Tamandua tetradactyla: one gene and its partner. The protein of the gene in region 1 purifies or fractionates together with the protein of each later gene. This does not show direct contact. Links are inferred from orthologs where the notes say so. Each region holds a gene or a part of one and is shown on either strand. Other genes may lie near its edges.

The links.
Region 2: the proteins of SCLT1 (region 1) and KIZ purify together in Homo sapiens (co-immunoprecipitation; 3 studies listed by BioGRID and IntAct, counting the BioPlex papers as one, with this or other methods). This does not show direct contact. The link is inferred for Tamandua tetradactyla from reciprocal best matches to the Homo sapiens genes SCLT1 and KIZ.

Annotation. Positions count from the first base shown.
Region 1 is NC_135348.1:39,195,503-39,204,071, reverse strand, and holds the start of SCLT1 (sodium channel and clathrin linker 1), read right to left. Parts: upstream 3,483-8,569; 5' UTR 3,025-3,482; coding exon 2,991-3,024; intron 1-2,990. UniProt on the Homo sapiens protein: Adapter protein that links SCN10A to clathrin. Regulates SCN10A channel activity, possibly by promoting channel internalization.
Region 2 is NC_135327.1:39,084,484-39,092,373, reverse strand, and holds the start of KIZ (centrosomal protein kizuna), read left to right. Parts: upstream 1-4,394; 5' UTR 4,395-4,499; coding exon 4,500-4,588; intron 4,589-7,890. UniProt on the Homo sapiens protein: Centrosomal protein required for establishing a robust mitotic centrosome architecture that can endure the forces that converge on the centrosomes during spindle formation. Required for stabilizing the expanded pericentriolar material around the centriole.

The DNA of each region.
Region 1 (8,569 bases):
TGCCAGTTGAGAAGTATCAAAACAAACTGTCTTGCGCTGGGTCACTAAATCCAAATGCAACAAATGAAAAGAAGGCAATCAAGATCAGTAGAAGTAAATGCAGAGATTGTCAAAGATAGTGGGAGGAAGGCAAGTCATCTATATTTATCTGAGCTGGTATTCAGGTAGTTCACCTTAGGGGTAAGATAGGTCCAGTGAAAAGAAAAAAAGGGAGGTTTATAGACACCTGACATTCATTCTCATTTCTTCATGCAAACTTTATCATTCCATGAATAAGCACTATGTTTTTAAGCATCTGAGCCTGTTCCGCTTTTGCTCCCTTTGTCTGAGATTCCATTCTCCCACTTGTTTTCTAGTGTAAAACCACACATTTTTTCAAGAAGTAATTTACTATGCTTTGCCTGTCTCATTTGATTCTCTCTAGCATTTGGACCACAATTTTACCTAAGTATTCTGGCTGGCTCATTCCTTTAAAACTCATAGTTTTTGACTGCCTGAGGTACTCTGCTTACCCCTTCCAATTCTTTTGTCCCACACCACTCTGATGGTGGCCTCAGGGGATAAGGGATCTTCCCACCTCAAACTGATACTGATACTATTCTAGAGTCATTATTGTATTATCAATAATTTTAGGTACTATATACAGTTCACTTAATACGTGCAAGACATCACACTAAGTGCTTTATTTGTAAAAATCTTTTTTAATTCTCACAACACATGGTGTTATTATTCCCATTTTGTAAATGAGAAAACTGAGACACAAAGAAGCCAAGTAATCTGGCCCTCAGTCAAAGACCTAAAAAGAGGTAGAGCTGAGATGTGGATCCAGGCAGACTGAATCTAAAGGCTGAGTTCTTGTTTTTTATAAATATTTTTACTGAGAAATCTTTACACATACACACAGTTCATACATAGTATACAATCAATGGCTCACAATACCTTCACTAGTTGTGTGTTCATCACCATGATCACTTTTAGAACATTTGCATCACTCCAGAAAAAGAAATAAAAAGAAAACACTCATACATCTCATACTCTTTACCCCTCCCTCTCACTGACCACTAGTGTATCAATCTACTCAGTTTTTTGCCCTTTATGCCCTCTATTATTTATTTTTTAGCCTTATTTTTAAACTCATCATACGTTGGATAAAAGGAGCATTAGACACAAGGTTTTCACAATCACACAGTCACACTGTAAAAGCTACATCATTATACAATCACTTGCAAGAATCAAGACTACTCGAACACAGCTCAACAGTTTCAGGTACTTCCCTCCTGCCCCAACACACTATACACTAAAAAGGGATATCTATATACTGCATACGAATAACTTCCAGGATAACCTCTCAACTCTGTTTGAAAACTCTCAGCCACTGTGACTTTATTTTGTCTCATTTTTCTCTTCCCCCTTTTGGTCACGTAGGCTTTCTCAATCCCTTAGTGCTGGGTCCTGGCTTATTCCAGGCCTTCTGTCCCATGCTGCCAGGGAGATTTACCTCTGGGAGTCATGTCCCACACAGTGGGAGGAGGGTAGTGAGTTTACCTGCCTGGTGGGCTTAGAGAGAGAGGGCACATCTGAGCAACAACAGAGGTTCTCTGGGGGTGACTCTTAAACATAATTTTAAGTAGGCTCAGCTTCTCCTTTGCAGGAATACATTTCATAGGGATGAGCCCCAAGATCAAGGGCTTAGCCTATTGAACTGGTTGTCCCTACTGCTTGGGAGGAATTCCCCAGATGGGGAAGTTGAACATTTACTCCTTTCTCCCCAGTCCCCCAAGAGGACTTTCAAAGGTTGAGTTCTTAACCATTGGTCTATAATGACTCTAAAATGAAATTTAACATTTTTCTTCTACCTTGTCTGTGGCTCAAGCCAAAGACCTGAGTTGCCCTCTACCTCTTTATCTCAAATCCCCTGATCTCCAATCTCACTTTGCTTATTTTAGTTCTGTTTTACCTGGATGATTAAATAGTCACTTAGGTACTCTATGCCATTATGCATGTTTCTTTTCAAAGAATGGGTTTTTCAAATAACAACTTGATCAGGTCACTCTCAACTTAATTCCTTTCAGTGGTTCCCGCAATCTGTGCAATGGTCCAAACCCCATAACACATACCAACAAGGCTCTTTAGTACCTAGCCCCACTCCACCCCTTCAGCAACACCTGCCATTCCCTTACATAAACCTCCATACTCTAGTCAAGTCATCCTCCTTGCATGCCTTTAACCAAGCATATTCCTAATGCCCTGATATTGCGAACACTGTTCTATTTGGGCTGTCTTACACAGTTCTTTATCTAGAAAATTCGTATTAGTAACTTAAGTTTCACCTCAAATGGAAACTTTCCTGACCACAGTTTATAACAACCCTTTAACAGTAAAAGGTAGGGCAGTGTCTAGCACTCACTATGTGTCAGGCACTATTCTAAATTCTTTACATATTTTAATGCTCATTTAATCATTCCAACAACCCAATTCGGAAGCTGAGACAAAAGTGTTTTCAATTGCTGCCACTTCAGTGTCTTGATGGGGTTTACCTGTTTCCTTTCCCAAATTAAATTCTTAGAGGGCAGAACTGTCCTCTTTAAGTCTGTAGCAGCTACGTTACAAATAACAGAAGCAGGAAAAGCTCAATAAACATCTTTCGAATGAATGGCCAGAGCAGCCTCCAGATTCTAACTGCACACTTGGACACCGTTCCTGGCCGCTGGCCTTCTAATTTCTTCCGAGCACGCCGAAAGCATAACAAACGTCTACTGACTAGTGGAGTCTCCTGCAAGCTCAAGAAACCTACAAGTATTTACCGAACTGTCATGCTCAAGTACACACATATTCTTAACGTATGCCACTAAGCTTTCTCCGAGGCTAACTTCTTTAGGTTTTTACAAATTTCCACGTACCAAACAAGCAGCCAGAAAAATCAGCTGGCCAACGAGGACGACATTAAACATGACACAGACGAATTCTCAAGAAAGGAACATGGATCTTACTTTGATCTCTCAGAAAGTCGATTTCTGTGGCCATTTCGATCCTATTTTCGTTAGAAGTTTGCACCACCGTGGTCTCCCTCCGAAAGGCACAGCTGGCTGGGCGAGCAAACAAAAACTAAGGCAACGCTCCAGAGGTCGTTAAGCGCTGAGCGGCGTGATCAGCATCCTCCTCACGCGCGTCCACCGCGCCTCCTCCGCCCGACTCCCGGCCGAGTCCCTCGCCCCGGCGCCAGACTTCAGACTTCAGGTTTGCAGGGGCCGCGCCGAGAATCCCGCCGGGGAGGGAAGGGGACGCGGGCCGCTACCGGCGTCCTGCGGCTCACCCGCCGACCTATCGGGCCGCCGAGCCCCGCGCCTAGGGAAACGGCGGGGCAGCCTGGTGGCGGCGTCCTCCGCGGTGCGCGGGGCGACACCAGAACTGCCGGGCAGCCCGGGGCCAGCCGCAGAAGTCCACTCGGCCCGCCCAGCGACTTTGAAACCGGTGCCCTGGGCCGCTCCTTGGAGACGATGACGCCGCCTTCGTCATCACGCGGGCGTAAGCGCTGACGACATCGCGCTTCCGAGAGTCCTCGCATGCCATTGGCTGGCTGTCAAGCGATGGGCGGGGCCGTGAGAACCGGGAGGACGGTGGGCTGAGCCGGCGCTAGGGCTGGTGTTTTCGTGTGCCCGGGCCTGGCGGTGTTTCTGTTTTGCTTTAAGAAAACTCCAAAGCTGTAAAGATGGGTAGTGCATTAGACACAGATTGTTAAGGCCCCCGGTGTCTTTGGGTTACTCGGATGCAATGCGGGGTGTGTGGAAAGGATAAAGGTTCCTGCGGCTGGGGGCGGAATCCAGCGTCCCCGACCCCAGCTGACCCTCTGGAAGACTCCGGGGTATGAATTTGGCATTCTCCAAGAGCTAAGAGCTGGCCTGCAAAAATCTCCCCGTACAGGGATTTTGGAGGGAGGAGATAGTTCTTGTTTACGCATTTAACTGTGCGGGTAGTAAGGCATGAAGTTATAGAGATGTTCGAAAGAGTCTTCAAATTTAGCATTTATTTCTTTTGAGATACGTTTGCAGCCTCACAATGAAGGAAGGAGAAAAGTTGCATTTTTTTGCAAGAAAAAAATAAGGTAAAAATTTGCGTTTCTTGGTAGATTAAATCCCCATTTGTATAAAACGATTCTGTCTGAATTTAAACTTCATGGGTTTCTTTTTTAACAGTTTACATCGCAGGAAGCAATAAAAGCCTGACTTGAAGCTAGCCACTAACTTCCCTGCTTTTTAATCAATTATGCATTTAATTTAATTTATTTTTATGGATTGAATTAAAGTTTCACTAATCAGACATGTCATAGATGCAGCTTGATTTCGCTTTTTTTTGACACAGAATGATTTGACTTTTTTGTTTGGTTTTGTTTCTTGTACTCATAATACTATATAATCGAAGTAATACTAGCAAAAGGTATTAAGAAATGAAAAGAATGTGTCCAATTGTATCCAATTGGTAGGTATTTGAAGACCTGTTGTGAGATTTATCCATACTCCCCGTAAGAGAACGAGATGGTCCCTTCCCCTAAGAATAGCAGTTAAATATGGAAGTGTTGTTAGTAACCATCAAAAGGTTTAATTTAGTTTTGATCAGAGAAGGATGAACTTGACCTGGTCTTTAGTGGCCATGAAATTAACACACAAACTTATTGGGAGAAAAAAATTAAGAAGGCAAATTCCAACTCTTTTTTTTAAATCCAGTATATTACTTTCTTCATTAGTCTTTCACTGCCTCCCACAACGACTTGCTTGTACTTTTTTCCTACATTGGACTGAATCTTGTATATTGTCATATTGTGATTTTAACTGTGCTCTCTCTGCCCTGTGTCTGTCTAGCTTTAGAAGGTGTTCTCTTATTTGTTAATTCAATGAACAGATTGTGTTTGAGGTTATGTTGGGACCTCCAAATAGAAATGTTTTTAGGCGTTTGGAAATGTGAAATTGTAGTTCAGCTGGGCAATAATAAGTTATTTTTTCCCACAATAAGTACATAATTATGATCTTGCCTGATGACCTTTTGACAAATTAAAACATATTTTCATACTCAGAAAGAAGAGATATTACTTAAATTTAATCTGAGTGGAAATCAGTGGCAACTTCATAGCAATCATTTACAAATAAGTTGATGAGATATATTCTACATTTACAAGTAAATTGAAAAGATGTATCGGTGTGGGTGAAAACAAAGACTACCTTCTAGATATAAATGTTTTGCATTACACAAATTGACTATCTGAAATTGGAATTTTTATGTCTACACTTGAATAATTTGCCTTGGATGATCATGGTCAATACAAGCCATAGTTTTTTGCGTATGCTTACAATTTTACTCGTTGAATTTTAGAATTTTCAAAATAATTTTCATCATTAGGAAACAAAATCATTATGAGTCCATTTATACTTAAAGTATCCCCTCTAGTGTTTCTCTTTTTTAAAATTTCCCGAGTTTTCCACCCACTTCCTCCAAGATGGTTTCTCCCTTAGTATTTACTTCATGCTCCTTCCTGCAGTCATCATATTGTTTGATAGTTTATCTCTAGGCACTGTCACGGTACCTGGAACACAATAAGGGTTCCATAAATATCTGATGAAAGAATTAAAGACTTCAGTGACTGTGCATGGAAAGTATATATTAGTATAAATTGAGTACAAAGAACAAGAAGTTTAATATTCGAGCCACTGTTTCATGTTTTTATATTAAATATTTTTCTGCAAAAAAGACAACCGTTAAAAATTGATATGTTTTACTAATATTAATTTAGTCAAAAAACTGACATGCACTACCAGTACTATGTGCAAAGCATCACCACAAATACAAAGTTCAACGTTTATGGCACGGTCAAACTGCATTAACTTTTTCTAATATAATGAAAGCTCTTAAAAGTGATTCTATAAAACAAAAACAACTGTTCTGGTAAACTAACAAACCGAAAATCTATTTTTCCCCAACAAAGTTTTAAAAATAATGTTAGAATGCATTTAAACTGAACCATGTGAAATTGCCAATTTTCTGCAATTTTATTTGGTTTAGCTTAATATTTACCTGAAAATATTTGTATAATGGCAACAAACCAGTGTAATATCTGCTCTTGCAGATTGAGAGAAAATGATAATGACTTCAGTTGAGCATGTGGAATATGCACATTGTTTTCAGGGTAGTTCAGATGCAGTGACTCATTACTGACTAAAACCCACTGATCCTATAAACAGTTTGGTAGCTCTCAGCAACCAAAATCCAGTGATTCTGTTACTTGGAAGTATCATAGTTCTGTAACTTATCACCTTTTCTTAAGAAGTTGAAAACTTTATACAAGATAATGTTATGAATTTTTTTCTAATCCTGTACAGAAACAAAATAATTTCACATTGTCTTGGGTGAAAGACACAAAATGAAGGCACAGAAACTGACAAATGCTGAAACTGCTGGAACAGTTAAGATTGAATAAACAAGAATCATATGTTTTATCTCTAAAGTACTTAACCATATTTTATGATTTCAAGGGTCGGTTAGACTATCCTGTCCAATAGTCGAGTTTTCTATAAATAAAACTACTTCAGAAATATGTAGTTTTAATTATTTGAACAGAAGGGTATTTTCTTTAGAAAAATCAATATACTTTAATAATGATAATAGCTAATCTTTACTAAATACGCTGTTCTAAATGCTTTGTATATATTAATTCATTTCGTCCTCTTAAGAAACTAGGTAGTATTTTAAAACCATTTTTTGAGTAACTTGCTGATATTTACACAGCTAGAAGTTGCCTGAATTGAGATTTATATATCCCGTTAGTCTTTAGTTTCATTAAATGAATTATGCTGAAATGTTCCATTATAATCTTAATAATTTACAGTAGATCTACAAATTGTTACACAGTGTATTGCTGTTACACTTCCTGCTCTTTGGAGAGAACTACTCAAACTTTGGAAGAATGATTAAAAGTCTTCATACGTTCATGGTTGTCTGCCTAGAAAAACCAGGGCATTGTTTCAGTCGTACTCAGCGAGTGGGCGGGGCCCCTGCCTGAGGCCTCTCTCGGGTGGGCGGGGCTCCTGCCTGAGGCCTCTCTCGGGTGGGCGGGGCCCCTGCTTGAGGCCTCTCTCGGGTGGGCGGGGCCCCTGGCCGAGACCTCTCCCGGGTGGGCGGGGCCCATGGCCGTACCGTTTCCTGGGTGGGCGGGGCCCTGGCCCGAACCCTCTCCGGGATGGGCGGGATCCTGGCCCGAGACCTCTCTCGGGTGGGCGGGGCGCCTGGCCGAGACTTCCCCGGGGTGGGCGAGGCCCCGGGCTTAGCCCTCTGCAGTGACCTCGGCGCCAGCATCCCGCGCGTCTGGACTGAGGAGAGCTTCCCGGTCTGTGTTCTCGTCTTATGTCCTCTTTACTGTGTCATACCTTATATTTTTGCCCAATCTTGCTAATATCGCTTTCTTTGGCATTTTAGTTCTCTCTTGCTGATTCGGTTCCTGTGTTCCCACTTGGAGCCTGACTTCTTGTATCTCGGTTTCTCGGTTAAGTGCGGAAGAGGGTATGCAATCTGAAGAGAATAACCGTTAGTAAAAGAAAAATTTGTGAATAGATGAATTTGAAGGTTTTCCTTGCCAAATGCTCTGTTGAGAAGACACCTTTTTCATAACTTCCTTCTTTTAACTTTTGTAGATTTTTTTCCCTCTCCTCGTCTCTTAAGAAAAGAAGGTTCCGTCTCCTTTTTCTTCATTTCCTTCCAAATTCTTTCCATAGTGCAATTTAAAACAATGAAAGAGATTTAAATTCCTTTTTATAATGAAACTTAATTTGAAGAATAGAGATTAAAATGTTAAAAAACAACAACAAAAAAAAACTGATTAACGTTAAACATTCTTTTAAGAATGCTTAATGCCAGATGGAAATTGCACAGTAGGATGATAATATCATTTTGCCTTTTAAGAAATGTTCAGACACTGTAAAAAACAGAAGCACGAATGAGAATCTAATTTAAATCAAATTGATTTAAGATTTACTAATTGAATTGGGTTTTTAAAAATTTTTTAATAAGAAATCTTCATATACATACAGTCCATCCACATTATACAATCAGTGGCTCCCAATATCATCACATAGTTTTGTATTCATCACCATGATCATTTTTTTGAAAATTTGCATCACACCAGAAAAAAGAAAAAAAAAACTCGCATATCCCATATCCACGAATTGTAAATTTCAATTGTATAATTCTGGTAGGAAAAAGAATGCAAATTTTCAATATTCATGAGGAAAATTATTTACCTAATACTTAATGAGGTAATGCTATAATTATTTTAGAGTGGTTGTTAAAATTTTGAGGACTGTGGATACCTATGAGTATCTGATGAAAGCATGCTTCCCAGAGAAAAATACACATATACAATAATTTCTATAAAATTTTAAGGTCATAAATAACTATAAATACAAGTATCTTAGAGTGACATTTAGGAGTTTGCCCTTAGCCACTCCTTAGATAGTAAAAGTAGTGAATGTTTAATAAACGCCTGATAAACTATATTGAAAGGAAATTACTGGGATTCTAATCATCT
Region 2 (7,890 bases), on another chromosome or scaffold:
TTTTCATTAAAATCAAGGTTAGGAATTCAATTCTTCAGTTGCACCAGCCACATTCGGTTGCTCAGTAGCCACACTACTAGCTACCATTGAATAGCACAGCCTAAAACATTCTCATCACTACATGAAGTCATGTTGGACAGAGCCTGCTCTAGATAGTTCTTCACTATAGCCCTGACTTCATTATGTAATTCTCTCTTCTTGGGCATCAACTCTTAATCTCAAAGTTCCAGGTTTGCAGTCTTTCTTACCACCTGGACAGTCACATAAATCCTTATCAAGAATTTTGTGGAAAGATGTGTTAATACATCTATATAATCTCGGCATGGGTTGCTTGTTATTAGTCAGGATAAACAGAGCCAGTGCTGAAACAACCTCAGAATATCAGTATCTTGACACAATAAAGGTTTATTTCTTACAAGAGTACCCAGTACTCTTTGCAGTCCTTCACTCTTCTTCTAGGGCCCCAGAATTCGCCACTGGATTCTCTGCACCCAGCTGGCCAACTAGCAAAGGCTGTGGAAGAGACTGCAGGATGTTTTGGGGGTCAGGCCTGGAAGTGTCTATTCTACTCACATTTCGTTGGCCGGAACTTAGTCATTTGGACCCACCTACTGCTAGAAAGGACGGAAAACGTAGCTCTTCTGAGTGCTAAGGAGGAAACTCAAACGAATAGTGTGGCACAGCATGTAGAAAAATGCATCCTATGCAAATGCATTATTTCCCAAACAATGAAACATTTATATGTAAAACCCATCCCTGTATATATTTTACACATTTCTTACAAGGAAAATAAAAAATATCAGTAGGTGTTGTTTTGATCAAAACAGACTCTGAAAACCAAAGTATAGAAGAAGTTTATTGAACTAAAGCAGTATTAATGCAGAACAGCATTAAAAGGTTACTGCTCAAAAGGCAAGTTCTGGGAAGGCAGTATATATGGCTTCTAGGAACAAAGAGAGGGATGGGAATGGAGAGGTGGAGCAAGGGAGAGTGAGCTATGGGAGTTGCTTGGGGCAGGATGTCCTTGGGCCATGTTTCACTAATTTTGTAACTTGGACAGGCAGGATGTCTTTGCAGCAGCAAGGTTATCTAGCGGAGATAAGCAAGTTTGCTGGCGTCAGCATGGCGAGAGCATGCTTCTTTTCTGCAAGAGCAGAGGCCTTAGTAAGCACCGTGAAGGATTATTGGTATGTCAGCCTGACTCAGTTGTTCTCTGTTTCTTCTTTGTAGTTCCCTGGATAAAGAGGAAGCAAGCATATCAAGTTGATTAGTGAAGCTATTAACCATTTCATTTTCACAGTCTCAAACATCGAGTTTCAAGGCCATGTAGAATGGAGGATAAGAGCATGTAGGTTTTTGAACCAGAACAGGACTGTGTTTGAATCCAAAGGCTACCACTAGCTTGACAAAAACACATTTGGGCAAGAAGCTTATGTTTGCAATGTTTCAATGAGGCAATAAATGTTTAGAAGAGTATCCGTGTTCAGTGGCAGGAAGGGTTACACACACACACATACATGTGATATCACAGCTTTATAGCATTTCCCATACTTTGTATGTTTGATTCATATCTACTTTCAAACTGAATTTTCTTCTAGTACAAGATGCAAAGGCTAATACTGCTGCATAGTGATTGCAAAATAAAATACTTTTCCATGTTCACATCCAAATAATAATCTACTCAAATATACAAGATTTCATTTTAAAATTATACTGTTTACATTTTGAAATGTATTTTCAAAATCAATTTTCCATGTATTTTCAAAATCAATTTTCCATTCATTGATTCAAGTACAAAAACAGCACTTTCATATGGGCTTACCCTAGGATCTATGTGACTACTGGTCAGAGACACGGGCTTTTCCTTGGTGTTTGCTTAATGGGATTATTAGGGGCCCATGTTTTGAACTAGATTCATTAATATTACATAGAATACAAGCTGTGAGACTTTGCCCAAGTGCCTTACCTGCCATGAACTTTTTCCCTCCTTTCTAAAATGAGTTAGACTCCCTCTAACTTCTAGCTAAGACATTCTATGATTTACAAGGAATCTGCCATCTAGGCAGATTCTCGATGACCCACAGTCCAAGAATAACTAAAAGCAGAGCTTCTTATAGAAATCAGCTCTGCTAATATAAAGGAATTTAAAAATATTAAGGAAGAGTGCTCCAGCTAATTAAATACTCTAAGTGAAGAACCTTGAATTTATTGAAAGTCTGGAACCATTTAGAATGCATAATTTTAGCATAAATACTCTAGAAATATTCATTTTGCTTGCTATGTGCTATTGTTAATAAAGAGGGTCTTGCATCTAGATGGCATATGTCACTAATGAATCAACAATAGAATGCAAATTACAATTATTTTGAATTTTCTATTTACTGTTTAATTAAATTTAAGTTTTAGGCTCTCCTAAAATGGCCCAATAAAAATTTGGGATGCTGAATGCTTACTCTGTGCTATTGGCTGAAAATAATTAGTTATATTAATTGTTTGGGAGCATTTTTCCCCTTAAAAAACTAATCTGAGTGGAGGTGGACCTAAACAAAACATGCTAAATGTGTAACATTTTTTTTTGGCCAGGGTTGTAGTAAAATGTGCTAAAACCGATAAATCTTTCTACACTACCACTGAATCAATTTGGTATAACGATTTGATAGAACACACTAAATAAAAGTAACATCAGTACCATGCTTAGACCCTTTCTGGCCCCTCTTTGCCCTGCCACTTTTAGAACATACTCTGTATACCCAGAAAGCTGACATCCCCTGTTCAGATGGGCCCCAGCTCCTTTTCAAAGCCTTGAGAGATTTTTCAAGGGCCCTTCATCGCAAGAGTGACCATCAACTTGGCATGCTCATCCACAGGGCCTCATGCCAAGGGACGGCTGCAGTGGGGGTGCAGACAGAGCTGGGACTTGTAGACAGGGGGAAGGGTCCATGTGCATCCCAGCCTGTGAGTGAGGACCCTAATAGTTCAGGACAGCCTGGCTGGGAAATGACCAGCTGGGCTGGGAATGGAGTCAGTTGTTGTGAAGGCAATTAGCCAAGGTAGGAAGAGAGAACATATTTCATGAAGATCTTATCTTGATTTATAACTTTTTAACATTTAGACAGACCCTATGAGGGCCTCCATTTGTACTCTTGTCGTGGGCCTGGCAAATGAGAAGGGAAGGCTGAGGGGCATTATAATTTTATATTGTTGACCTGAGAGTCTTCCAAATCTCTTACTAACCACCAGTTTACTGGTTTCAGTCACACCTTTCAGCTTTTGGTGAAATTAATAGCTGACAAAAGAAACCCAAAGGAGTGGAGAATAAGTGACTAAATAAATGTTTTAGTTTCTTTTGCTTCTGTCTTGTGGATTTTGGAATATGGTTGTTTTTCTTCAGGAGGCATTTCCCACAGTGATGATGATGGTTAAAGCTGATACTAAGTGCTGGCTCCCCGTATAGACACCATACCCACACCGACTAATCTAATCCTATAACGACATGGCTGGGTCCTCAGTAGTAGCCTCCTCACTTTACATCTGAGCAAACCTGGTTTCATGAAGGTTGGAGAGTTGGAAAAGGTCACACAGCTGGTTGGAGGAAGAGGGGAGTTTAGCCCGGCAGCGTGGCTCCAGAGTCCCTGTTACGGACGTTGGTACATGGTCCATCCGACCATCGGAAGCAACTTTTCCCTTTCCACCCATCTGCGATGTCACCTGCAGCATTACCCTGCCTTGGAAGGCCCCTTCTTTTAGTTCCACGTGCTTCGGGACAGTACGGATCTTCAAGGAAAGGCTTGTGCTGTGAGAGCTGAGCACATCTGTTCAGTATTTTGGTGTTTTGTCTTTTTTTTTTTTTTTTTCTGGTGTTTTGTTTTGCCTTTAAGTGCAATTAAATTTGCCTTTAATTTGCTTAGGCGAATAAGCTAAGCGCAGTGCGTGGCACTCCGCAAGCCCTGAGAAGGCGGGAGGGAGGGAGAGAATGCACCCTGTAAAATCGATGCAACTGGATGCCAAAGACCAAACTAATCAAGTTAATTGTTCCCGCCAGCCCCCATCCTCCACCCAAGGAGATCGAGGGCCGGCTTCTGACTGTCGCCGGACAAGAAAGGCTTAGCCTTCAGAAAGTCTCTCTTGCGAACTGCGAAGGGTCAGTGGAAGGGACAGGCTGGTCTCCAGGCCGCCCAGGCCGCCACCCGGCAGTCCGCCCCGCCCCTCCTGGAGCCTCGGGTCCCCTAGGAACCGGCCGGCCCGCCCCTCAACGAGGCCCCGCCCCCCACACGACCCAACCGCGTCCTCTCCAAGGCCTGCGCCCCGCCCCCTGCACAGCCTCCGCCCCTCCCTGGCACGGGCCCACCTCTGCAAGGCCCCCGCCCCGCCCCTCCACGGCCTGCGCCCCGCCCACTGCACGGCGTCTCCGCGTCGTGTTTACTCGCGGTGCATGGTGGGTCCGTCGCCTCGGACAACCCAGGTCATCTGGCTGCCACAGGCCACGCGAAGTGGGCGCCATGCGTCAGGCCTCCGCACCGTCCGCGCCCCTGGTCAGCCCGGACTACTACGAGAAGTTGGGCCGCCTCCAGCACGGGCTGCGGGACAGGTACGGCCAGTCGGGGGACGGGGGCGGGGGCGGTGTCTCAACCTGCGCGGAGTGTCTTCTGGGTGCCCTCCTCCCCACTATCCCGGTCTGTGGTTGCGCGGGGTCGGGTCTGCCCGCGACGCCCCCAAGCGCCCACTGGGGCCTGGAAGACAAAGTTTGTCAGAGTCACCCCCTGCATTGGAAGTGAAGACCGTTAACAGCAACGGAAGCCCCTCTTCCGCTTGAGAATGGCCCGTGGCACTGAATTTGTCCGTGAGAGTGCGAGTCCTCCTGCCTGTCACTCTCCTTCAAGCCTTGTGAATTTCTGTAGTCCCCTCTGCACGGCTTCTCCCCAGTGTCTCTTCAAATTGTCATCCCACCCTGACAGCTGCACTGCATCGACGATGACAGGCTCAGAAATGCAGGTGGGAGCGTGAGTGTGTGGTGTTTGCATAAACATATGCCCTGCTGAAATGCAGGAGACTTTTTTGGGGGGAGGAGGCGGCTCGCCAGATTTCCATTAGAAGGACGAAATTTCCAGTGGAAAAGGCCAGCATCCAGAGGACTTCTTTGATAAGGACATGAAAGATGGGAACCCCTGAAAACAGGTAGATCTAAAAGTACAGTAAGGGAGAGAATTATGAAGCAATTAACCATAAATAACCACATGATAGATGAGTTATTGGAACTCTTATTTAGCTGCTAAATTAATTGGAGTCGAAAAATCTCATTAATTGGTAAGGCAAGAAATAGATTTTTGGATCTCTTGTTAAACAGAACGCTTGATGAGTGTTAAAAGTTATGAAACAATCATTCTAGTGAACAAGAAAGATGTGTCTGTGACAGTTCTAAAATGATAATTATGTGTAAGGTAAAGTAGAAGTACGTGGTTCTGAAAAGGAATAAAATGAATCTTATGTTAGAGCTAATTCTTGTTAAATATTTATAAGCACTGACAAAAAGCCTCTGTAATTGTCCTCACTATATTTTACTCCTTAATTCTTTCCTACATGCTATTTTTACCTCTGACATATTTTCTCACCCGCTTCAGTGACCTCTTCACCACTAACTTAAAAAAAAAAAAAAATCTCTTCCTGCAGAACCTCACCTGTCCCAATTGTTCTGACCTCAACATTCTTTAGCACCTTTGGTGACTGCGTAAGTCACATGCTCCCAGTCTAAACTGAGAATTCTAGGAGGGCAGGAGCCATAACCAATTGGCACCTTAGCTGGGATTAGAGTATCTGAGGTGAAAGAGGTGCTTGATAAATGTTTTTCATATAAATGGAAGAAATCCCAGAGTCAGCAGGCTAGTGTCCAGAAGTTAGGAAGGTCTTGTATAGAACCCAGTAGCCGCACATTATCATGAAATAATGATCATTTTCCAGTCAACCAAGACAACTGGATAGTGTGATAGATTCAAAGACTTTATTAATTTTCTACACATTCTTGATAATTGTAAGGCAAGACATTGCTTTGTGCTTCAGTATGCTTAACATGCTTTTTGGCTCAGCATCTGTTTTGTTAGAAGAGTAGCTTTGTTACCCCCAGCCTTTAGTTATTTACCCTTTTTAGCCGAGCCCTAATTTTAAAATATTACTGGTGTAAATGCATTGTTTTTGAACTGAGTTAATTGTGAGTTACTGTTTTTGCTTCCTGTACTGGGAACACCTGGCTGTTTATAGTCCTTATGGTATAATAACTGTGTAATGATGACTCACTTTATGTTTAACACTTACTGCTTTAACTATTAAGCAAGGTGACACTGTTGAAATTATCAGGAGTCAAATTTTATAGCCAATTAACATTTCTGCATTTGGACGTTTGTTTTAGTCAGTACAAATGTCGCTGTGTGTGTTCATTTTTCATTTTAAGAATTCATAACTAACTGATTAATGCACAGTTAACAAGCATAGAGGTGAATAGCTTTAGATAACAGAGAAAGCTGCAGTAGAAACGCAGAAACTTGGGTTCTAGTACATGAACATTTGTGTGACCTTGAGCAGGCCATTCGACCCTACTGAACCTTACTTTTTCACCATAAATGAGGGGGCTTGACTAATGTGTAAAGTAAGACTACAGATTTTTCCCCCTCTCCTCGAGTAATAGGCCTCAAAGTAAAAGAGTTTGAAAAGCAACAAGTAAAGAACATCGTTTTCTGTATCTAGTTGAGGGTTTGGATGCACTTTTTTTCTTGTAGTTTTAACCAACCCAGTGCCTATCGGGACCTATATCTCCTAAAATTCATTATCTCCTAAAATTCCAGAATTATTTCAAAGGCTGCAGTCACAGCAGCTTTATCAATCCAGAAATTGTTGGGGAGTAGGGTATTAAAAAATAAACTCACCTTTAATTGGCCCTTTTAGAGATGGGTCATTGCAGTGTTAGCTGGTCTGATAACTGGGGCCTTTTCTTTATAACTGGATTATGTCTAGCCCAAGTTATAATCAAGTCTTGCTGAATTTTTTTCCTTTGTATATGTTTTCCTACATTGTCTTGAAAGTCAATAATTGAACCTAAAATAGCCTAATGGAGTGACTTGTTACAGTGTATATAGTGCCACAAGCATGCTAGAAACATATAAGTGGAATTGACTCTTAGAATTACATAAAAACATCCTTTTAAAAGGCCCATTAGCCAGCCCCAGTATTTTCAATGCCAATATTGATTCAGGGTGAGATATCATAATAGTTCAGAAATTGACACTGAGATGTTAGTTGAATAAAGGTTGAGCATGATGGAGATTGAGGTTCTGAGACAAAAAAAGAGATTGATAGGTGGCTTAAAAGGAGAAAACTGAGCCACGTGGCTGTGCTTTAACAACTTCCCAGCCATGTAAAATTTCAAAGGGCCGGTAAGGGGTACAGGTGACTGAAATCAGGGATAATGGGTAAGCATCCCATGGCTGGGGGTTTCAGAGATTCTGAAATAGAGATTTAGTAGGTAGGAATTTCAAGTTGATCTTTCTGGTAAGCCTTTTTCTTGCTTTGATTGGGTTAAATATCTGGATTTAAGTCTTAAATTTAAAGCAGATGCAGAGGGCATGGGGAAGGGGTATGGATTCTTTGTGGAAGAAAAGGAAGTGTCTTCAGATAGATTAGGGTGGCGAAGGCATGTCTGTACACTTAGGTTGGATTATATAATGTATGAATAAAACTGTTGAAAAGTGAACAGAGAGAAATAAGTGCTAGAGGAAATGTGGAGAAAGAGATGTACCTATTCGCTGTCAATAGGGAAAATGAGAGGTGCAACCCCTTGGAGGGCAGAGGTTGGTTCCACTGGCGGCTAAGGGTAGGGTTAACATCTGATCCTGAAACCCTGTT